Linked DNA regions of Canis lupus familiaris. The protein of the gene in region 2 purifies or fractionates together with the protein of the main gene of each other region. This does not show direct contact. Links are inferred from orthologs where the notes say so. Each region holds a gene or a part of one and is shown on either strand. Other genes may lie near its edges. The genes, in order: RNF114 and DTX3.

Region 1 (10,830 bases), on a different chromosome or scaffold from region 2:
GGGTGGCGCAGCGGTTTGGCGCCTGCCTTTGGCCCGGGGCGTGATCCTGGAGACCCGGGATCGAATCCCACGTCAGGCTCCCTGCATGGAGCCTGCTTCTCCCTCTACCTGTGTCTCTGCCTCTCTGTCTCTCTCTGTGTGACTATCATGAATAAATAAATAAAATCTTTAAAAAAAAAAAAAAAAAAAAAAAAAAAAAATAAATTGAGGAAACAGCAGTTGAAACACAAAGCCTGTTCCAATTCTGCAGGTGTCTGGATCTGACTTCCACATTTTCCAGATTTCCCGCGGCCTCGCGCCCCCCCCCTCCCTCCCTCCCGTCCGTCGGGGGTGGTGAGGGGGAGGGGCAGGGGGCGTGGCCCGCCCACAAGCCCCTCCCCAGCCGCGCGTCCTTTCCATAAGCCCCGCCCCGAGCGTCCCTCGCCGCGCAAGGTCCCGCCTTAGCCCCGCCCCGGCGGGCGCAAGCCCCGCCCCGAGCGCGCGCCAGCCCGCGGCCTCGGCCCCACCCCCTCGGGCTCCTCCTTCTCGGCCGCCGTTGCGCCGCTCGGCGCGGCAGCAAGATGGCGGCGCAACAGCAGGAGCGTGAGGGTTGTGCGCAACGGGCTGGGCCCGCAGCGGAGTCCGACCCGCTGGGCCGCTTCACGTGTCCCGTGTGCTTAGAAGTGTACGAGAAGCCCGTGCAAGTGCCCTGCGGTCACGTGTAAGCGGCGAGCCAGGGCCTGGTCGGAGGTGGGGGGTGAGGTGGGGGAGACCTGAATGGGGAGGGGCGCGGCCCGGGCGGGGAGGGTCTCGGAGCGGAAGCGCGAAAGCGCGAAAGCGCGAGGACCGGGCCAGAGGGGCCTCTTCCTGGGGCCCAACGGGGCTCCTGAAGGCGCGTGGAAGTCGGCGGGGCGCTTCTCGGTCCTGCTCGCTTCCAAGTAGCGCGTCGTCTGGTGAGCGCCTCCTGTGAGGGGGCCTGTGAGACTCCTCACCCGCGATAGTGGAAGTCGCACCCTGTCGGGGATCAGGTGGGGCGCCTGGCTCGCTCCTTCAGGTAGAGCATGTGACTCGGTTCTGGAGGTCGTCATTTCGGGCCCCGCTTTGGGCGTGGAGTTCACTCGAAAAATATAAAATCGGCCCTCGGAGAGCCACCGTTGCCCTTGAAAGCCTGAGCGTTGCTTCCGAAGTACATGGTACGTATATGGCGCCAGGTGTCCAGTTCTGCCAAGTAATTCGAATGTGCACTGAAGTTGGAAAAACGCCGAAAACTAGACTAAAAGAACAAAAGGGAAGTCTTGATGGTAGAATCTCACCAGGCTGCCATCAACGGAAAGGGGTTGGGAGTCACAGATAGCGATTGTTAGCATTCCTGCTTGTGTCCGAGGTTTGCTGCGTTTTGTTTGAAATTAAGCCTCCCTGGCCCGCATGCCGCTAATACGCTGGTCACAACGGCTGAAGGGGATGTGTGTGAAAATTGCCAATACAGACCCTCGGCTGGGGTAGGTGCTCGAGGTTGTTGGGATTTTTTTTTTTTTTTTAAAGCTTTTATTTATTCACGAGAGACACAGGCAGAGGGAGAAGCAGGCTCCATGCAGGGAGCCCGACGTGGGACTCCATCCCTGGTCTCCAGGATCACGCCCTGGGCCGAAGGCAAGGCGCTCAACCGCTGCGCCACTCAGGCGCCCCCTTGGGATTTGAATCTAAGCCTTGCTCCATCAGACACGCCAACACCTCAGTTGAGAGGACTGTAGAAAATGTGGTCACTTCTTGCCACTGGGGGGGTTGGCATTTCCTCAGTGGTCTCCTGCAGTGCTTATTATCTTCAGCATCACCTTGGCATTGGTTTTAGGACACCTTTACTGGAGAGTAGACAAGATAGGCACCTGCTGGGCCTCACAGGTATTCTTACTCCTACAGCAGTACTGCAGGGAAAGAGGGTTGGCAGCCATATGGCAGGTGAGGGAACTGAGGCTCACATAGGTCAGGCTCACTATTGTCTAACTCTTCCCACATGAACTGCAGGTGTCTCCTTGCCAGCCCAGAGAATAATTTGGCACCTGGCAAGGGCTCCCCAGCCACAGAGTGCTTTTTGCTTCTTCAGGTACTCTTAAGCTTTTTCTAGTTTTGGGCTGTTCCCACTTGGAGTTCAGGTAGCCTGGAACTCTTCCTGCTCACCTGCATCTCCCCTGCCAGCTACCCCAAATCCTTTCCAGACTTTAAGTCCCAGTTTAACTTAACCTCCCTTATCACTATCCCTACTCGAATTACTTCCCTGCTTCACTCCTGGGGTTTCCTTCTTCCTTGCATAAAGCCAGACTTAGGGATCATGAGGGGCAGTGATCCTATCTGTGTTGCCCCTCTCTGTATCCCCATTGCCCAGCAGTGTCTGAGCATCCATCTTCCAATCTTATATTCAACTGACTAAAGTATTTGTGTGCTTACCATGTGCCAGTGTCTTGGCACAGTAAGAAACAAGATGATTCTGCCCTCAAAGTGTACAAGCCAGTGAAGTGATAATTAGACTAACAAATGTTCAGACTACTGGGAAAATTCAGTGTGGAATGGAGGGTCATAGGGATCAAACTGGTTTGTGGGGGAGAGATCAGGTAATGGATGAATGAACTAAGAAATTGGTGGTGGAAACAAATTTCATGAGCATTAAAGTGAAGGCTAGACAGTGTTTTTATTGAGTCCTTTTTTCTTGGGATCAGCCCCTCACTGCTTTTACCTGATTTTGTGTTAATTCACTGGATTTCATTCACAATAGTTATAAAGAGGCTTGACTCAGCACAGTTTACCAACTGAAGAGCAGCAAAAGTTGAAGTTTCCTTGAGCCACGTGAACCTTCCCTAGGTCAGAGGTCAAGGGGCAGTACTGGGTTTCAAAACTTGGTTCCTTTCTGCACTCACCGCACTAGTTTCACGTGTTCATCAATTTTGATGCTGATTGAAGACAGAAGAATACAGCTCTGTGAAGGGAGCACAAATCTCCCTTAGCTCCAGCCAAGTGCTTTTTGCTCAGGCTAGTTAGTGGCAGATTTTTGCTAACTTTTATGCTTAGAAACCAGCATCGTAACTTTGGCTGGCTGGGGTGTTGAGTTTTTATAAAACTTTATTTTAAGCCCTGAATGACTGTGTCCCTCCAGTTTAGCAGAATATAGCTGGAGAGGGGTAGGTGTTGGGAGCCCAAGAGAAGGAACTCTTTACACAGCACTGTAGCAGAAAGGATGGAGCACCTAAAAGGCTCAATTGTATTAAGGCCTATGAAATAGGAAAGGGAAACTGAAAGCCAGCCCAAGATACAGGCACTTTTTAAAACCAGGCTTGCATGTTGGGGATGACTGGAGCACAAAGTGACTCGTGAACATTTGGTCAATGAATTGTCCTGGTGTGTGCTTGAAGCTGCTTTTTTCTACCAGCTGGGATTGGTTTCTCTGGACCCTCTGCTCTCTTGGGTTCTTCTTGTGATCTGCCTTTGAGAATAGTTAAGTCAAATGATGGCCACAAGCCTGTCTACCTGTCCAGCCTAATCACTTAACATCTTCCAGTGGTCTTCATATCATGGTCCCAAAGGCCTCCTTTCTGCTTTTTGGAAATCCCTTTGTACTTGGTATATCCTCTCTTTGTGGAACTTTTTGTGTCCAAGTTCGTGTGACTGTCTCCTCGGAGTTTTAGGTCTTAGCTCAAATATTGCCTCCTTAAAGAAGCTCAGTATGATCCACCTTGGCTGATCTCTTTGCCTTGTTTTATTTCCTTCCTATACTTTTTAAAAAATATTTTATTTTATTTATTCATGACAGAGAGAGGGAGGCGGAGACACATGGAGAGGGAGAAGCAAGCTCCACGCAGGGAGCCCGACAGGGAGCCCGACGACGTGGGACTCGATCCCTGGTCTCCAGGATCACACCCCAGGCTGAAGGTGGCGCCAAACCGCTGGGCCATCAGGGCTGCCCTATTTCCTTCCTATACTTAAATCACTATCAGAAACTAACTTTTTTTTTTTCCCCTCCACTTTGGAATACAAGCATTAGGAAGACAGGGATTTTGTTTCTTTCTCAACTTTGCTCTCAGTGGTAAATCATTAGGGCCCCTCAATTTCTCCCAGCCTGTTTTATTTTGTGTGGCAGTGTTAACATCTAGCTTTATCACAAAGAGGAAGAAAATACTTAGATATGGTAAAAATTTGTCAGATGGCATAGGTTACCTTTGATTATACATCCTGAGTTCTTCCTGGCAAGTTTTGTTATCTTGCCTTAAATCCCAGGTCAGGTATGTAGCCAGGCTGTTTCCATCCCTTTATTGTCCTTTCTTTCTGTATACCTTATCTCAGCATCACTCCCTGCATAGGTTTCAGGATAGAAACTTGGCCTTTTTTGACTTTCCTTCTCCAAATTTAGTAAGTTCCCAAGTATTACTGACTCCATTCTGAATCATTTCCTGAGTTAATTCTCTGTTGCCTCAGGCCCTTAGAATTCCTTGCCTTTAAAAAAAAAAAAAAAAAAAGAATTCCTTGCCTTAGCCAATCTGTTTGGTTTCTACTTCAAGGCTCCTGTCTTTTCTCACCTAAAAATATTTTTTGAAAACCAACAACTCTCTTGTCCATGATAACCTCAGCTATTTTTCTAAAACTTGGATTTGGCCTTGTTGATATCTTTAAACATCTGGGTTCCTACCATTCATGAGGAAAGATGTTAGACTTTTATTTCCTTAGGTGCGTCATGAATTTTTAAGTCTAAGTGCCTGGAATGCTTTTACCTTCCTCTGCCAGCTGAGCTCTTTTAAGGCTGTTTTGTGAATGCTGCTTCTGAAGTCCTACCAGCACTGTCCTTCTTGGGTCACAACTAGGTGGTCTTATCTCTGTCTTCTCATAGTGTTTTACATTCACCTCTGATGATATAGCACCTCCTATTTGTGGTGCATTTCATATGTGTTTAACACTGTACTGAGGGGCTGCTAAACATACTCCATTCCAGTAATCCCAGAGGTGGCTACTACTGTCTCCATTTCACAGAGGAGAAACTGAGATTCAGGAAACCCCACCAAGATCCCTCAGTGGCAGGTGCTAAGGTTTGAGGACTGTGCCACAAAACCTTTTCACTGTGTATCATGATAGTTTGTGTTTGTTTCTGTTGTTGGACCTGTGTGTTCTTTGCAGGACACTCCCCCATCCCCTTCCTGGCACGGGAAGACTCAGTATTTGAATCAGGAACAGGGAGCAATATGTTTATAATCCATTATTCATTGATGTCTTTTTAAAAGTTTATCCATTTTTGTTGTCTTGTCTCCACAATGCATGACGCAGGTTCTCTGTATGTCTTGTTCTAGCTTTTGCTCTGCATGCCTGCAGGAATGTCTGAAGCCGAAGAAGCCTGTCTGTGGGGTGTGTCGCAGCGCTCTGGCACCTGGCGTCCGAGCCGCGGAGCTCGAGCGGCAGATTGAGAGCACAGAGACTTCTTGCCATGGCTGCCGTAAAAATGTATGTGGAAGTAAAATGGAAGAGTCAGTGTCTTTCTGCAATGAGAGGGGGTAAAACGCAGAGCTGTTGCCACGTTGTTCCTGAAGTTAGAGCATGACTAGGTGACTTACAGCACGTGTGCATGCTAGTTATCTGTGGCAATGGCTGTGCCGGTTCATCTTAGTGACCTTATTGGTTTTGCTTTGTTCTTTTAACAGTTGGTTTAGTGTATTATATCTTGTAGCTTTGAAAACCATAGAAGTCCATTATCCTAGTTTTTTCCCTATAAAAGAGCCACTTTTCCAAAGCAGTATGTGTAATTTCCATTAGAATGTAATGACAGAATGCTATTTCTTAATTTTTTTAAGTGTAAAATAAGATAAACATCTCGAAGTTACCTGCTGCAAAAACAAAAACAAAAAAAAAAAAAAGGAAGTCACCTGCTGCAGTGAGCTAGAGGGGAAATTTTACAATCTTTATCATTATAGATATAAAAAATATTTGAATTTTTTAGTACTTGACAGGGAGGAATCATGACATAAAGATTAGGATGAAATTATGTGATTGTAAAAACAATACCTAACATTCGAAATGCACCCGTGCTTTTTTGTATAATCATGCTAGAATCAAGTGTATTTCAACATCTATTATAATTATAAAGGAGAAAAACTACAATCTCGTTTTCCAAGCTATACACACACACAGTCTTACAGGTTTCAAAATTATGATTCTGTTCATTTCAGACCGTAAAGCATATGAAATACTGTAGGCTTGTTTCCCACTCCAGAGATTACCTGTTTAAAAGTGATTGGGTTTAGAAGGCTGCAAAATATTTTCTGCCCTTTGACAAACACAGATGTAGGAATTTTACAAAATAGGAGCATACTCTAGTTCTAGAGCTTTTTCTCACTTTTGAAAAATTTTTTTCACTTAATGACTTACTAGACAACCTGTCCGTTTCATTACTAACATATTAGTATGGATGGCCATAGAATGGATATACTTTACCTTCTTTCTTTCAGAGTGATTTAGCACTAGGGCTGCAGAGTGACTATCATTCTGAATAGGGCTGTTTCCTATCCCTTTTAATTGGGAGCTCTTTGGTTGGCAGCTTGAAGTCAAGTTCTTTAGCTAGAGGTAAGACAGAAGGGAGCATTATGGTAAGCTGGAGCTCAAATAATGAAGCTTTCTTTTTTTTTCTTGTGGTTTCCTTTCATTTTGAAACTCAGGATATTGAAATGAAATTACCCGTTACTTTATCCTTGTACTACATGCATGATGGATTTTTTTGTTTTATTCTGTATACTTTTGATTTTTCTCCATTTTTAAAGATTAGTTATTATATTGTATTATATTTCCAGGTGTACTACTATACCTCCAAAAATGTCTTATCTTCCCTTTACCTCTTCTCTTTCTTCATTCCTTATACTTTTCCTTTGCTTTTAGAACACCTGCGATGAAGCACTCTCCTCTAGGTTTTCTTTCTCTTTCCATCTTGCAAGGACTAGATTTTATAGGGGAAATGGAATTCAGATTTCAGTTTTTTTTTAAGATCATTTATCACAATGTGGCATTCTGTAACTTTAATTAGAATTACTGGTGTTTATCTCTTTTATTTAAATGATTACTTTTTTTTTTTTTTTTTTTTACTGCTGCACATAATGAAATGTGTTCTTGGCTTACTATGAGGAGCTAGTTTATTTTTAAAAATTTTTTTTAAAGATTTTATTTATTCATTCATGAGAGAAAGAGAGAGAGAGAGAGGCAGAGACACAGGCAGAGGGAGAAGCAGGCTCCATGCAGGGAGCCCAACCTGGGACTCCATCCTGGGTCTCCAGGATCACACCCTGGGCTGAAGGCGGTGCTAAACCGCTAAGCCACCCGGACTGCCTAGAGGAGCAAGTTAGAATGCTGTGTGGAAAACTTTTAAACCTTCACTGCATTTGGAGTATGTGAGCAGAGAGCATACCTTGAATAAAAGCAAACCTCTAGGAGAGTTATTTTAGAGTGGAAGCAGATGTCCTGGGTTGGTTAAATAAGATTATCAGCCTTGGTATTAACAAAAAGCCTGCAACAAACTTGCTTTCAGCCCTGTCAGCATAGCCAGGAGTCTGGTGAGATTGTTTGCCAGAGTGGTTCAGGTCTGGTTTTCATTTTGACCTTGCTTTGGGACTGTGTTGGTACTGACTAACTTGTGGGCTCTGATTCTTCCTAAGTTCTTCCTATCCAAGATCCGGGCCCATGTGGCTACCTGTTCCAAATACCAGAATTACATCATGGAAGGTGTGAAGGCCACCACCAAGGATGCCTCCCTTCAGCCAAGGTAAATGACTCAAACACTCCTTTAGGTGGAGGTCATCTTTGCTATGAAGACAGTGGACACTTTGCATGTTGAAGGGTTTAGTTGTAGGAGTTTGGGGAAGTAGAGGTATAATTGTTATTCTGGCTACAGCTGATGTCAGTTTTTGTGTTAGGGGTGGGGTGGGGTGGGGGGTTGTGTGGAGGACTCTGATGCTCACTTCAAGTATTAGCTCTATTATTTTCAACATTTGATCTCATTCTGAAGTGATTGTCAGAATCCCTGTCATAACACATTGCACTTTGCTCCTTTTTTGGGGGAGTACAGTAGTCGAAATGTGGAAAAGTACTCAGGTTTCTTCTGTTTTCCTGCCTTTCATCTTCCAGGAATGTCCCCAATCGCTACACCTTTCCTTGCCCTTACTGTCCTGAGAAGAACTTTGATCAGGAAGGACTAGTGGAGCACTGCAAGTTATGCCACAGCACGGACACCAAGTCTGTGGTAAGATGACCTGGACTTTGTAAATTTTCTTTTATATACACTGATCTCCTGTGTATCCTTCACCTGGATTCACAGATGATAACATTTTACCATATTTGCTTCATGATACTCTATATGTACATATTTTTTGCAGTGATAAGTTGCAGTGATAAATTGCAGGTACTATGACTTTTTGCTCCTGTATACTTCAGCATGTATCTCCTAAGAGCAAGAACATTTTCTTAAAAAATCATGTAAAAAAAAAATCTTATTTTTTGTGTTTGTCACACTCAGGAAGTGTAACATTGACAGAATCTAATATTTAATACAGAATACGTGTTTAAATTTTAACAATTTTAGGGGGTGCCTGGCTGGCTCAGTCAGTATAGAATGTGACTCCTAATCTTGGACTCCTAATCGTGAGTTTGAGCCCTGCATTGGTCATAGAGATTACTTAAAAAAAAAAAAAAAGGGGGGGGGGCGTGGAATACCTTGAAATTTTAATATTGGAATATCCTTCATTGCAATATCTTCCCCCCAAATCCTGGATCTTTGTGTTATATGTAGTTGTCATGTCTCTATACCTCGGCCTTTCTTTTGTTTTTCTTTTCTTTTTTTTTTTTTTTTTAAATTTATGATAGTCACAGAGAGAGAGAATGAGAGAGGCAGAGACACAGGCAGAGGGAGAAGCAGGCTCCATGCACCGGGAGCCTGACGTGGGATTCGATCCTGGGTCTCCAGGATCGTGCCCTGGGCCAAAGGCAGGTGCCAAACCGCTGCGCCACCCAGGGATCCCTCCCTCGGCCTTTCTTCGCCATTCATTACTTTAACATAAAGAGGACAGGCCAGTTGTTTTGTCAGATGTCCTTCAATTTGGGTGTGTCTGATTCTTCATCATTAGAGGTGGAGAAGTTCCATGAGCGATGTGTGCTCCGGGTGCCACATCAGGGGTCATGGGATGTCTGTTGCCCCTGTCATTGGTTATGTTAACTTGGATCCCTTGGTGTCCACAAAGTTTGTCCTCTGCAAAGCTACCATTTCCCTAGTTTGTCTGTAGTTGTGGGGAAAGAGAATGTATGAAATGATTAAGAAAGTGCTTATCAGTCTTCTCAGTTTAAGTATCAAGACTGGCATGTGGTTTTGTTTTAATGTGGTCTATGTCTGCAGTATTACCCTTTCCTCTTTTTTTTTTTTTTTTTTTTCCCCAAGTAAGCCCTATGTTCATCATAGGGCTTAAACTGAACAACCCCAAGATCAAGAGTCACACACACCACTGACTAAGCCAGCCAGGCGCCCCCTTCCCTCTTAATGTCATTGACAGGCTAGATCTTGATACAACCTCCTCCATAGTTTTCAGTTTTTCCATTTATTTTAGGCTGCTCTCTTGACTGTATACCTAGATTTATAGGCAAACGTCAGCTCCCTTGGCTTAAAAGGTGGTGCATAGACTTTAGTATTTGCATGAGCTTTTGTTAATTGGATTAGGTCTGGTGGCATTCTTTATTTTTCTTTTGCTGCAAATTTTAAGATACAGGTGGCCTGTTTGAGAATACCCTAGATCTTCTCTTGACTTTATTGAACTCCTTACCAAGCCCACATTCCGGTTAATACAGCCACTTTTTACACTGAGCTCCCTGAGCTCTTACTGTTGTGCTGTGACAGATTTGACAGATAAATTCCCTCTGGTTTGCTTTTCCCAACTCCTCTCACTGGGGAACTTGGCCAGTTTAGCTCATTGTGGGTCATTTTCAGCCAGGCCCTATTGCTGCTAGGCACACACACTCTCTGATGGCTGTTCTGAGCACTGTTTGCATTAAATTCGGAGCATGAACTGTTCTCAACCTTTCCACAGGTAACACTAAATCCTGCTTTTAACTTACTTCGGAATATCAGGTGTGAATTCCTTTCTTCCTCCTTCTGTCTCCATTGCTCTCTGATCTACCTCTGAGGTTACAGACTGGCAGTCTGTGGGATACATCTGACCTGTACACATTTTAACTTCCTTTTTAATCTTTAAAAATCCGAAGATTTCTCAGTCTTGATGCTCTACATTTGAGAAACTGGGAGTTCAGGCAAGAGCCAGCTGGCCTAGAGTAGTTGCTGCCCACCTAGATGGGATGGGTTTATACTCATTCTCCTTTGCTCTTGTGTCTTACTAATCTGGTCACTGTGAGCACTTGAATTTGCAGCCCTTCTTCCTTGTCCTTATCATTCCATTTTGTACTCAGGAGAAGGATGCTTTCCAAGTCTGACTCTTACGTGTGTCCTCAGACCCATAGAGAGGACTGAACTTAGGGCCTAGCACAAAGTAAGACTTCCCTGCTCCTGTGGCTTGCCCTATCCTGTGTCTTCACTCCTCTCACCTCAGCTTTGCCCTCTACCGATGCCTCGCCCTTGTTTTCCTTAGATATGCCCATCTTCCCTGGCTCCTTAGTGGGAGGAATATTCAATCTGTGCTCTCTAGTGTTTAGTTGATCTTTTCCCTCAAGCTTGTCATTTTCCAGCTGCTGCTGCTGTCTCTTCAAACCCTTTATTCCCTCCAGATTCAGCTTCCACCCCTGATGACATCATGTTCTCCATGGTCCCAGCTGGCTTCTTGAGTCCTTGCTTTCTGAACC
Region 2 (11,537 bases):
AGGTACAAGTCTCCAGCCTCTCAATCCCTGGCGCCAGGTCGACCTGCGGCCCTGAACCCTCGGCCCGCCCCCGCTCAACGCTGGGCCCTCCGACCTCTCACTCACCACGACCCCCCCGGGCGAAGCAGCAGCCGCATTTTGCCAGCACTTTTCGGATCACGTGGGGACAGGCACAGCGACCCCCCTTGTGCCCCCCCCGCATGGCGCCCGGGCCCCCCCGCACCCCCCGCCCGGGCCGGCCATGCAGGGGGAATCACGGGGGGCGGGGGGACGGCGCAGGGCGCACACCCCCCTCCCTCCTAGCCCGCTCCAGGCTGGGGGAGGGGGCAGGGAGGGAACCGGGAGGGGGTGTCCAGGGGTAGGCGGAAGCCGGGGCTGGGGGGCGCCGGGGCCCCGGGGAGCGGGCGGCGCGGGGCCGGGCGGCGAGCGCGGCGGGGAGGGTTTCCGGAACCCAGGCGGTGCGGGGCCCGGGGTCCAGCGGTCCGGCGGGGCGGGGCGGGGCGGGGCGGGGCCGGGCTGCGGCGGCCGCTCCAGCCCCGGCTCCGGCCCCTCGGGCTTGGCGGGGCTCTAGGCCCGGGCTGGGAGGGGCGGGGGCCGGCTCCCCGGGTCCCGGGCGCTGCGCGGGTCCCGGCCGAGCGGCGAGCCGAATAACAGGCCGGGCCGCGGTGCCGCCGCGGGGAGGGGCCTCTGCGGCCCGGCTCCGCCCTCTGCCTCCGGTTCCCCCTCCAGCCTGCGCCGGGCTCCGGCCCCAATCCCCCTCCCGCAGGCACCGCCGCGTTCCCACTCCACGTCCCCACCGCCTCCGCCTCCCCTCTCCAGCCTCGGCTCCCCGCCCCGTCCCCCTCCCTCCCCTCTCGGGCTCCCGACTGCGGAGAGCCGGGTGGGGGCGAGCCGGGCGGCGGGGTCTGCCCAGGTCGCCCCTCCGCCTCGGCGGTGGAGAGGGCTGCGGATGGATGGGCCCGGGCCCGCGGGGAGACGTGCTGGGGGCTGGGACTGTCCCCAGCCCGGCAGGGGTGGACAAGCCCCCCCCCCCCCGCCATTCGGGGAGCGGGAATGGGGAGCTCTGCGGGGAACACGGCCCAGGTGCCGCCCTCCCGCCAGACCCTGCTCCCCTCCAGGCCCCGGGACTCTGGCTGAGGCTAATCACCAATTAAGGCGAAGTCCCGGCGGCCGGGCTGGCGGGGGGCCAGGGGTGGGGCGCGGGGACACAGCCGCGGGATCGGGTGATGTGGGGGCCACACAGGACTAGGGGGCGAGAAGCGTGGAGCGCTCGGCACTTAGATGGGTCCCGCGCAGTTTGGATGCAAACCTTCACGCGAGCAAGGGCGGCATTACTTGAATTGGGCGCAGGGCGGTAGCTGGGCCCCACCCCGCCCCCAGCTTCTTACCGGGCAGCGGCGCCCAGGCGGGGACCCCACGCTGGCGCTCCCCCTTCTGATCACCCTCGGGACAGTCCGACTCTGTCTCGGTCCCTCCCGGCCCTAGGGGGCCTCTGCTCGGGGGCTGTGGGCAAGACTGGTGGTAGGGAACCTCCCTCCGCACCCGGCCTCGACCTCCCGCGTCGCCCTCCTCCTGTCAAATCCACATTGTTGTAAAAGGGTCGCCTAGGCCGGGCTGCAGGGAGCCGTTCGCCCAGACCCAGGCCCCGAACTCCCGGGGTGCGGCGACCGGGTAAACTGAGCTGTGGGGTGCAGACCTCCTGAGGCCCCCTAAAGGTTCCCGACTCCACCGTGGTCCCCTTTCTTACCCCCTCCGGCCCTGGGAGGGCGCATGCGCGCAGCATGCCCCCCATGACCCCCAGGATCCGGTCCGTGCGGCCAGGGGCGGGGCGGTCCGGGGGCTTCATGCTGGACCCCTACCCTGCTCCAAGTTTCAGGGCCGAGGGGGCACGGAAGCTGGGGGGCTCTCGGCCTGCGTGCGTCCGGGGAGTTGCAGCTGTGGAATCCGCCCCCTGCCCGGCTCCGCCCCCACTCCCACCCCAGCCAAACTTCTCAAAGGGGTAGGGTTGTTCCTTTCTCTACCACAACCCAAGTTCCACGACGAGCCAACCCCCCCGTAGTCCCGATTCCGACGTGGATGCGTCGGGAGCCCACTGAGCACTTGCCGTGTCCCAGGCTCTCTGGAGGCCGGGACTGGGGAGACGCGCGGGGATTTACCCGATCACCACCCCTTCCCCTTCTCAGCGGGTTCCGCTCCCCACCCCACCCCCACCCGGGGCCACAGAACAGAACGGGTGTGGCAGAGAGAGTTGCATATTTTACTTTATTTTTATTAAATTAAAAGCTACAGTCTGGCGGCGATTCCAGAACAGGGTAAGGAGGCTCCTTATAGGGGGCAGAGAAGAGCAGGAGACGGACTGACGGACTGACGGAGACAGAGACACAGGAGAGAAAGGACCCGTTAAGGTGGAAGGGGGACTGGTTCTGAGAAACACACAGGGCCGGCTCCGGGGGATGGGGGGGCTCACCTCAGCCCCACTGCCCCTCCCCCATGCCGAAGCTCAGCAGTAGAGCAGGGGGCTCGAGAGACCTTCCCTCCCCACCCAGGTCCTTTCTCAGCTTAGTCACTGGAGCACAGCACATACCAGAAAAAGCCAAGGGCAAAGGAGGGGGTAGGGAGACTGGGAGTATGTACATGGGGAGGTGGGGAGCAGAGCCTGGGAGATCCCCCTCCCAGAAGGGAGCGGCTCTCACTGCACAGAAGCACTTGGCCTGGGGGAGGGGACAGGGGAAGGGATTGCCCCCTCCCTCTCTGAACTCCTTCCCCAGTCAGACTGGTCCCCTGTTTGTGTGGTGTGGGGGGGGCAGAGGGAGAGAGAACAGAGGCTTCCGCTGGGTCCTATGGAGAAAGGCAAGGGCTTGGCAGAGGGGAAGTCCTTCAGTCGTCTGTGATACCCTTGGCTCTCAGCTCCTCTTGCACCCGGGTCAGGTAGGTGGGGTCCGGGTACCCAAACCTGGGAGCAAAGAGAGACGAAGGTCAGGATTAGCCATTCCAGCTGACTCATCTTAGCCTCATGCTCTCCCTCATTCTGGGGGCCCAGTTCCAGCCGCTCCCCACTTCCCCTGAGCATAGCCAATCCTGAGATAACTTAGCCCACTTCTGCTTATTTCTGTAGGTTAAGCTGGGCATATTGGGCCAGGTGGAATGTAGAGACGCTGGGATGGAAGAGATGGCTGGGATAGTTTGGGGGTGGTCCTCTCTAGTTAGGAGGCTCTAGGAGAGAGGGGGTTGCTGTCATTCCCTGGAGTGAAAATAGAGAGAAGGGGAGGAGCCAAGGGAGGGAAAGGAAATGAAGGAGGGTCGCACAGCTGGGGTCCTCCTGTGCAGCTGGTCTTGTGGTGAATGTCGTTCCAGGTGATGACATTCGGTCTCCCTGTGGTCATGGACGTGCCGATAGTGAAGGTGAGACGCTGGTCAAATGCCTTGCGGAACAGGGTCAGCACCTTGTTGCCCTCGGGGCAGTCCGGGAGGTAGGCCACCCGTGTGGTGCCAGGGTACCGAACTCCTGGGTTTGGGTGTTCAGCCTGGGACGAAGGGGAAGCAGAGAGGACAGTGAGCAGCTGGGCACGTGAAGGCCCGTGATGCCAACCGAGGGTCATCCTGGTCCACTGGCCGCCTAATGCTGATGGGGCAGCAACGGGCCGACAGCCTTTCAAGGAGGGAGAGACTTCCTTGAAAGGTTTGGACAGCAGGAGCCCATTTTTGGACAAAATCCTTACTACTAAGGAAGTTCCTTCTGCTGCCTCAATCTCTCAAGTCTCAGTTCAGCAACAAATGGATTCTCAAAAGTGATGGCAAGCCGCTCGCTCGTCCTCACCCACCAGATAAGTCAGCAGAAATGTGAAGACTGAGAATAATCTCTCTCTGTCTTCCCCTCTCCACCTGAAAACACTCCCAGCGCTTCTAAGCCTGCCTAGCCCGGGCCACTTTCCCATTACTCTCCTTCAGAGCTTCCTCAGCCCTCTGCAAACCAGGCCTGGAAATTACCCTTGCATGGTCAAGCAGGAGACACCTAGAGGCTCTCGACCACTCCTGGTTTAACCTCCCACTGTCAACAAGATTTTCCTCTCAGCAGTCTGGAACAAAGCAGCACTCACTGCTCTGTGAAGAGGGTCAGATCCCTTCCCGCTAGGCCTGCCTGCACCTGAGCCACCTTCTCCACAGAATTCACCTCTGCCAAGAATAGCTGTCGTCATCCATCCAAGTTCACCGAGGCAAGAGCCTTTCTCTCCTACCTGAGTTTCATATGTGCCGTGGAGTCGTGGGCTAGAAAAGCTGGGCCTGAAGGTGGGGGGACCAGCTAGCTCCAGGGCACCGGGTGCGAAGGCATGCTGGGAGGCGGCAAGACTACATCACATCTAACAAACACACTCCCCTTCACCCAGGTTTCCTAGGTCAGAGAACACGCTTGGGGAAAACCGAAGGGCACGGCAGGTCTTCTTACCCCCTGGACACCGGGCGGGAAGACGTACTGGATGACAATGGTGCCATACTTCTCATAGCTGGGCAGTAGGAGCGTGGCGTCCTTAGAGACCAGCATGCGCCCATTCTGGGGCTGGTTGCCCACCAGCTGCCCATAGAAGCGGCCACACATGGGACAAGCCTTTTTCACCTGCAGGGCCCGGGTGATGCAGCCCTCACAGAACGAGTGCCGGCACTTCTCCAAGGTCTTGGCGTTCTGGATCTCCCCCAGACAGATGGGGCAGGTGCTCTCCTGCTCCTCAGCCTCCTCCCGAAGGCGGGGAGGAAGTGGAGGGGGGAGGGGAGGAGGAGGAGGGGGAAGCCCCCGAGCCCCTGGGGGCAGGAGCGGGGCTGCTCGCAGAGGGGGAGGGGGTGGCCCTGGGCGGTGCAGCTCAGGGTGCTCCCCGCCACCCCCCAAAGCCAGGCAGCCCATAAGCTCGCCCTGCCTCTGAGCTTTTTTCAGCTCTTTCTCGGCCTCTTTTAGCAGCCCCTTGAGCGCCTTCCGGGCCAGGTAGAGCCCGTTGGGGGGTGCCGGGGGAGGACCCTGCGGGGATAGCTGCAGGACGTAGATGTCAGAAGTTTCGCCATCGATGAGGATGGACACGCGGTGCTCCTCCCGAAGCCGGGCCAGCCGGGCTGGGGTCTCCTTGCTCAGGAAGTCCCACACAGGCTTGGAGACAGTCACTTTATTCTTGCAGGTGCCTCCACAGGCTGCCATTCTGGACAGGACGAACGACACTGCCCCCAGGGTGAAAGGGACTCAGGGTGGGGGGTCCCCATTTGACAAAATCCGTGCCTACTACCTCAGGTTGCTTTCAGGCCCTTTATCACCTCTACTGTCCCACAGTCCAACCCCTGACTCCTAGCCACCCCAGCTGATTTTCTGTCTCAGAGCTCTTATCTTTCAAATCCTAGCACCCACTAAAGAGCAAGAAAGTTTCTATGACTTTATTATTATCATCGTCTGGGCCAAGCAGCAGTCTTGGTTCTGTTTCCACTCCTCCCAAGATCACAGAAACAATCTGGCCCTCCTCCCTCTGGGGGGGGGGGGACCAGCTTCTTTAAAGGGGAGGGAGACTTTTTTGCTCACTTTGATCCTGAACAGCTTAGAATTGGCATGCAGGCTCGCTCCACTGTCCCTGCTTCCTACTTGTCAGCTGTGGGACCTGGTGGGTGGAAGGGAAAAGAAGGGAAGGTGAGATACCCCCCTACCCACTTTCCTCATGCTCCAACCCAGCAGCCCAGGTAACAGAAGACTGGGAACCCGGGTGTAAGTTACTGGGAATGGGATTACTTGGCACATGGAATGGAGGAAACCAATTTAAAGGCGAAAGCTGAGTTCCCCTTGGGAGGCAGATACCTGGAAAGCCCATGGACGGGAGCAGTAGAAATCCCTCTATTGCCACACTCAGCTGACTAGGACTGGGGGGAGCGGGGAGAGTAGAAAGGAAAGGGTTATGATGACAAAGGTGACCGGCCCCCCTCACCCCCACTCCGCCAGCAGCCCAGAAACAAAACAAAAACTCCTCTTCCATTTCCTCTCCTTCTCTCCTGCAGAGCTGCATCCCCAGCCTCTCCCAAGTTGCTAAAGATGGAACTTCAGCAAGCTAACTTTCCTCTTCTCCTCCCCAGCTCTGAGGCTCTCAAGAAGGCCTAGGGCGCAGATGAGAGAAGTCAGGAAGGGAAAAGCCCCCCCCCCCCCCACGGAGGTCTTTCTTGCCACCTGCCTCGGATCACACGGGTGAGAAGCTTTCCTACGCTCCCCAAGTCCTCACCCTGCCCCACGTCCCCCCACAATTCAGCCCCCGTCGCTAGGGAGCCTTCCTTGCGGGCCAGCCCAGGGTCCCTTCTGCGGAAGTCTGTTTGGAGGCGGGCAAAGTGGCAACAGCCCCTAAGTAACGAGGTTCTTGCTGTCGCCTTTGTAACCCCGCGCCTGGAGCAGTAAGGCCGGCAGCGACCGGGTCTGCAGGCGGGAGGGTGCGGCTCCGCGGGGCTCGGCTGGAGGAGCCGGGGCTCCCCCGAGTCTTACCGGGTGCGGCTACAGAGCTGTCCCTACAACGCCTCCAAAGGTGGCTCAAATAGAAGAGGGGCCGCCAGTGTGGCCTCAACTCCTGGACTGACCCCAAGGGGAGCGGCTGTGCGGCTCCATCCCAGTCCCCTCCGGGCCAGAGGCACCTCGAGGCCCAGAGGGTGAGGCTGCGGCCCCGGAACCTCCGCTCGTCCTGCGCATCCAAGGCCGCGGGGCCCGGGACCTCGGGGTCCTGGCTCGGTCCCGCCGGCTCGGGAGCGGGGGCGGGCGGGGCGGGCGGGGCGGGCGCTGGGCCGCGACCCCGCGGGGCGGGGGGCGGGGGGCGCGGGCGCGGGCGCGGGCGGGGGCGCGGGCTGCTCGGCGGCGGCCCGGACCCGCGAGGCGCGGAAGCAGGCCCGCGTCGGCCTGTCGCCCGGTCGGGGCCCGCGGGCGGGGAGCCTGCCGCGGGGGCGCCGCCCGCCAGCCCGGGTGCGGGCCGCGGCGCGGGGGGCGCGGGGCCGGCGGGGGGCGGGCGGGGGGCGCGGGCGCGGGCGCGGGGGTGTGGGGCGCCGGGCTCACCTACCTCCCGTCAGCGCCGCCATTGCCGGTCACATGACTGAGGCTGTTGCCGGGATGACGGTCGGGGCCTTAGCAACAAGGGGGGGCGGCCCGGGGGGCGGGGGGCTCCGCCGAGGGTGCGGGCCGGCGCGAGGGCGGCCCCGGGGCGGCGGGGGGCGGGCGCTGCGCCCCGGGACGGGGACGGGACGGGGCGGGGGCGGAGCGCGGGCCGCGGCGGGGAGGGGCGCGGGGGCGGGGGCGGGGGCGCGGGGGCGGGCGCGGCCTGGGTCCGCTCCCCTCCCGGGCCCCCCTCGGCCCTCGCGGCGGGGCGCCTTCCGCGGGGGGGGCGGGGGCGCGGAGCCCGGTGCGGCCTGGGTCGCTGCCCGCCCTCGGCCCTTGCAGCGGGCTGCGGGTGCCTTCCGCGGGGGGGGGGGGGGGGGGGGGCGGTTCTCTGTGATCCGCCTGCTGCTGCTAGAAGCGCCGAGGAACAATCTAGGACCGGCAGAGCCACAGTAAGGAAAGCCCTGGTCCTGGAGGAGGAGAACCACCCCCACGCCCACACTATTTCCATCCCTTCCCGGGGCGCTCGCCTTCTCCTAGGTTGTGACCTTCTGTGACCCCCGCAACCTGCCCGCAGGCGGGGCTGGGTGAGCGCCTCCGACTTTCCTTTCCACCCACAGGGATCCTGAGGCTAGTGCAGAATGGGAAGGGAATACAGGCCTCAAAAAAATGCCTTGGGGGGGATGGGGATGGGGGTGAGGGTGGGGGTGGGGGTGCGAAGTCTCTGGTACAAGTAGAGTTAAAAACGCTCCAAGAACAAACAGCTCTGCTCTGCTCTGCTCTGCTTCCCACATCAGAGCGCTCTCCGCCCCCGGGCCAGCTCACTTCCCTGGGGCCACATCAAGCCAGGTTTTTCCACCAGCCAAAGGCCTCCTCAGCCAAACAGCACTGGATCTCCCAGGCTGGCAGCAGCCTCTATTTATCCACCCCTCTCTTCACTCCCTCCCTGGGCTGGAGGGCTGGTCGCTTTCTCCACTTTCCCAGGACCCTGCTGTACTCTTCCTACTCTCCAAACAACAGGACATCTTTCCCAGGAAGCCTAGGGGGAACACCCCGTTCTTCTTTTAGCTCCTGTGAGCAAGTACAAGTGAGGGAGCGTGCTCTGAGGCTCACTCACCTTTACAGGAGTGACTGTGTCATCAGGCCCAGAACTCCGGGGGGGAAGAGGGAGCACCCCATCAGCCCTTCTCCCTGGCCCCCCCATACGTGGACTCTGACAGAGCTGGAGAGTAAGTTTTCCATTGCCATGCACACCCCTCACCACCTTTTAACTAGAAACCCACATCCTTAATTAGGGGCCCCACATTTTAAAGATGGGTAATTCTTCATCTGGTCTCTGCACCCCTAAGCACAGGGTTCCTCAGAAAAGAGGGGGGGAGGAGGCATGTCTGTGAAGGAATATGGATTCAATAATTTATTTCCTATACAGTGACAGCGATGGGAGTAAATACACAAGATCTTTATTAATTAATAAAACAAAAAAGATGAAAAACAGAAGCAACAAAACGAAGACCATTCTGCTCATGATACATCAGCCACATGGTCAGAAAACCAATTTCTAAAGAGCAACAGCTGCTGGTGTCATGGAGTTTTATTGCATTCAAAAGGGGAAGGTAGATGGTTGGAATGAAAAAGATCAGCAGGCCCCTGATGGGAAGATATTATAGGGGCTCTAATTCTTAACTGTGGACTCGTCTTGTTACTTCCTTTGGAGAAGATGAAGGGGAGAGAGAAATTCTCCTTTATGACTGTATGACTTCCTGTGAGACAGATCAGTCCAGCTAGATACAGAGCAAAGAATCTTTGCATCCCCACAGGCCAGTTGCAGGTGCCCATCTTTATGTTTTAAAAAAGTGCAGAAGCCATAAAGGGGATGGAGGGTAGCAAGAATGGCTGCCTTAGCCCCAAAGGTATCAGGGGGTGGGGAGGACACTATCTGGGCCCTCAGGGTCCTCTACACTCTGAGACTACCACTTGTCATTTCAACTCTTGGGAGGGGGCCAGTGATTGAGTTATGGCTCTGACTCCTCTCTGGGGGTGGAGAGTGAAGATGACAAAGAAGTCCATCTGTCCCCTGGGAGACATAGTAGCAGTATAAGACAGAAAAGAACAGAATAACACATCCAACTGGAAAAAGGGCTTGAGAAGGGGTTGGGAAGGAAGTATGCTAGGTGCACATCTCCAAGGAGTAGAGGAGGTTCCCGCACTTGAGACGTTCCATCCTCTTGAAATGACCAGGATGGACCCAGGTAGAGATATTTCCTCCTGCTGGGGATAAAACCTCAGAGATGGCTACACGTGAAGAAAGGAAATTTAGCATTGGGAGTGAACCTTACACCCTGGCCCATCATCCCAGCCTCCAAAACTGCCCCCACCCTCGTCCCCCGCTGAAGGGTTCCAGCCTTGGGAGGTGTGGAAGGTCCTGGTGAAGAGCAGCAGCAGTCAAACATCTTCACCCAGGCTTGAACGGTTTGGCCATCTCTGGGTTCTTGTGCCCAGAAGTACAGGGGCAGGGGTTGGAAGTAGGGTGAGGGAAGAGTTTGGAGAGTAGTAGTCAATTCTTGACAGACACCTTTTCCAATTCCCTGAATAATTTCAAGAGTCCTCCTGGGTCCCACCTCTGTAAGGCACCAGCTGGCTCGCCGCTCCCCACCCCATTAGTGTGTAAAATGGGCCATAACCCATCATATGTGTGCATGCCAGCACCCACACCTGTAGTATCTTAAAAGTCCTCCATCCCAGGGTCTACCGGGAAGGAGGCATGCCACAGTGAGTTCTATAAAGTTATCAGCAAAATTCAGACATTCTTAGTTCATCCCACACAGCAAAATGCATCCAGAGTAGTTGCTTGAGCCAGGTCCATCCGTCCAGTCAGTTCCTGAAGATGGCAAGTAATCCCCTTCCCCCATCTCCTCCTATGTTCTAGAAACAACAGGACATTTACAAAGATCAAGGCACTTGGGAGTGAGTCAACAGTAACACTCTAATGAAGCAAGCAGAATTGCTGGAAGGGAGGGAGAAATGGAAGAAAAGTGGGCGGGTGGGGAGGGGGGGACAGGACAGTGTATTTCTGAGGGTCAGGAAAAGCCTAGTCAACAAGATGGAGTTGTGTGGGTAGAAGGAGCCTGTAGCTGGAATTTAACAAAAGAGGAAGAGAAGTAGTAGTGGTCAACATATCCACAGCTCCCCAAGCCTCTCGGAACCCTGCCACCTTGAACATAAAGCAGCACGGAGTCTGGTAGTCTCTTAGGCAAAAATGTTGGTAATAAAATCCAGGAACCGCTTAGCATACTGCTCAGGATGGACAGTGGAGATCTCTGCCCCAGCCTGCGAGAGGAGGTAGGAACACAGCGTCAGGCACCCCACCACCCCATCCCACTCCGCAGCCTCCAGTCCTCCCCACACCACTTCCGCACCCAGCCCTTCCCAGCCCTTCGTCCTTTTGCCACCCCATTGCTCCCGTACAAAAGGCTCCCTCTGTTCCCAGTCAAAAGATAGGAAAGGATTTGGGGAGCCCTCACCCCGTGCTTGACAGTTTTGGCTGCGTGAGCTGCTTTCTTCTTGGCATCATACTGTGTCAGGATGTCAATGAGGCCCATGAAATACACCTCCTTCTGGGGGGCCCCTGGGGAAAGAAAGCGAGGAAGAGCAAGTATAGTCCCAATTCCCTCTTCCCAAGAACCAGTCAGATCTGTTTTGAAAAGCTAACTGGCCTCTCTCCCACCACCCTGGCTGGTCTCAGTCCCCTCACTCCCCCAAGGCCAACCCTCCCCACCACCAACACCCTTAATATTTCCAGGATTTCTCTCACCCTCAGCACTCCGGATGGCATAGACGTCAATGAGGGACTCAAATTCTCCAGGGCCCAGGGGCCGGTGAGAATGGATGTAGCCGCCAATACCCTCAGGGGAGGTGCCATAGGAGCCCACCAGAGCAGGTGGCCCTGTCAGGTCACAGTCTCCATCCCCCTCTGACTCCTCCTCCCGCACAGGTCCCTCCTCCTCTGGGTCAGAGCCCCGAACGATGTCGTGGATGCCCAGCAGAAGGCTGTAGTCCATGATCTTCAGCTGCACTAGGAACTGAGACCCCACTGACAAATCAGATACCTCAGATCTCCTTCCCTGCTCCCAGCACCACACCACCCTTATACCTCCCCTCTGAGCTTCAGGGGCCCTCCTGGGGAAAGGAAGGATGAAAATCAAGGGTTGGGAGTATACCACTGCCCTTTAGTACATCAATGTCCTGGTACCTGAGGTCATCCTTTTAGTCAATTCTAGCCATCCCCTCCATGGGTCACCTCTAAGGGTTTTTTATGTCCCATACCCAACTCCCCTACATGCAGAAAACCCAAAGAATAAAGGGAACGGGAGAGACAGCTGCCCCGGGGGGGAGCAACAGGAAACAGCCATTTCCCAAAGCACCCCGATCATCACCTCCACATCTCTCTTTA

What was found.
Region 1: the proteins of DTX3 (region 2) and RNF114 purify together in Homo sapiens (affinity purification with mass spectrometry; 3 studies listed by BioGRID and IntAct, counting the BioPlex papers as one, with this or other methods). This does not show direct contact. The link is inferred for Canis lupus familiaris from reciprocal best matches to the Homo sapiens genes DTX3 and RNF114.

Annotation. Positions count from the first base shown.
Region 1 is NC_049245.1:37,088,227-37,099,056, forward strand, and holds the start of RNF114 (E3 ubiquitin-protein ligase RNF114), read left to right. Parts: upstream 1-516; 5' UTR 517-560; coding exon 561-700; intron 701-5,303; coding exon 5,304-5,454; intron 5,455-7,649; coding exon 7,650-7,756; intron 7,757-8,118; coding exon 8,119-8,233; intron 8,234-10,830. UniProt on the Homo sapiens protein: E3 ubiquitin-protein ligase that promotes the ubiquitination of various substrates. In turn, participates in the regulation of many biological processes including cell cycle, apoptosis, osteoclastogenesis as well as innate or adaptive immunity.
Region 2 is NC_049231.1:2,032,059-2,043,595, reverse strand, and holds DTX3 (probable E3 ubiquitin-protein ligase DTX3), read right to left. Parts: upstream 7,182-11,537; 5' UTR 7,053-7,181; intron 6,715-7,052; exon of another isoform or gene 6,491-6,714; intron 6,464-6,490; exon of another isoform or gene 5,884-6,463; 5' UTR 5,822-5,883; exon of another isoform or gene 5,663-5,821; intron 5,657-5,662; exon of another isoform or gene 5,628-5,656; 5' UTR 5,581-5,627; coding exon 5,552-5,580; exon of another isoform or gene 5,200-5,551; coding exon of another isoform or gene 5,181-5,199; coding exon 4,445-5,180; exon of another isoform or gene 3,525-4,444; coding exon 3,307-3,524; exon of another isoform or gene 2,954-3,306; coding exon 2,878-2,953; 3' UTR 2,244-2,877; downstream 1-2,243. Other genes in the region: ARHGEF25 (rho guanine nucleotide exchange factor 25), read right to left, coding at 1,389-1,503, 1,748-1,846; PIP4K2C (phosphatidylinositol 5-phosphate 4-kinase type-2 gamma), read right to left, coding at 10,334-10,414, 10,609-10,712, 10,899-11,166, 11,521-11,537. UniProt on the Homo sapiens protein: Regulator of Notch signaling, a signaling pathway involved in cell-cell communications that regulates a broad spectrum of cell-fate determinations.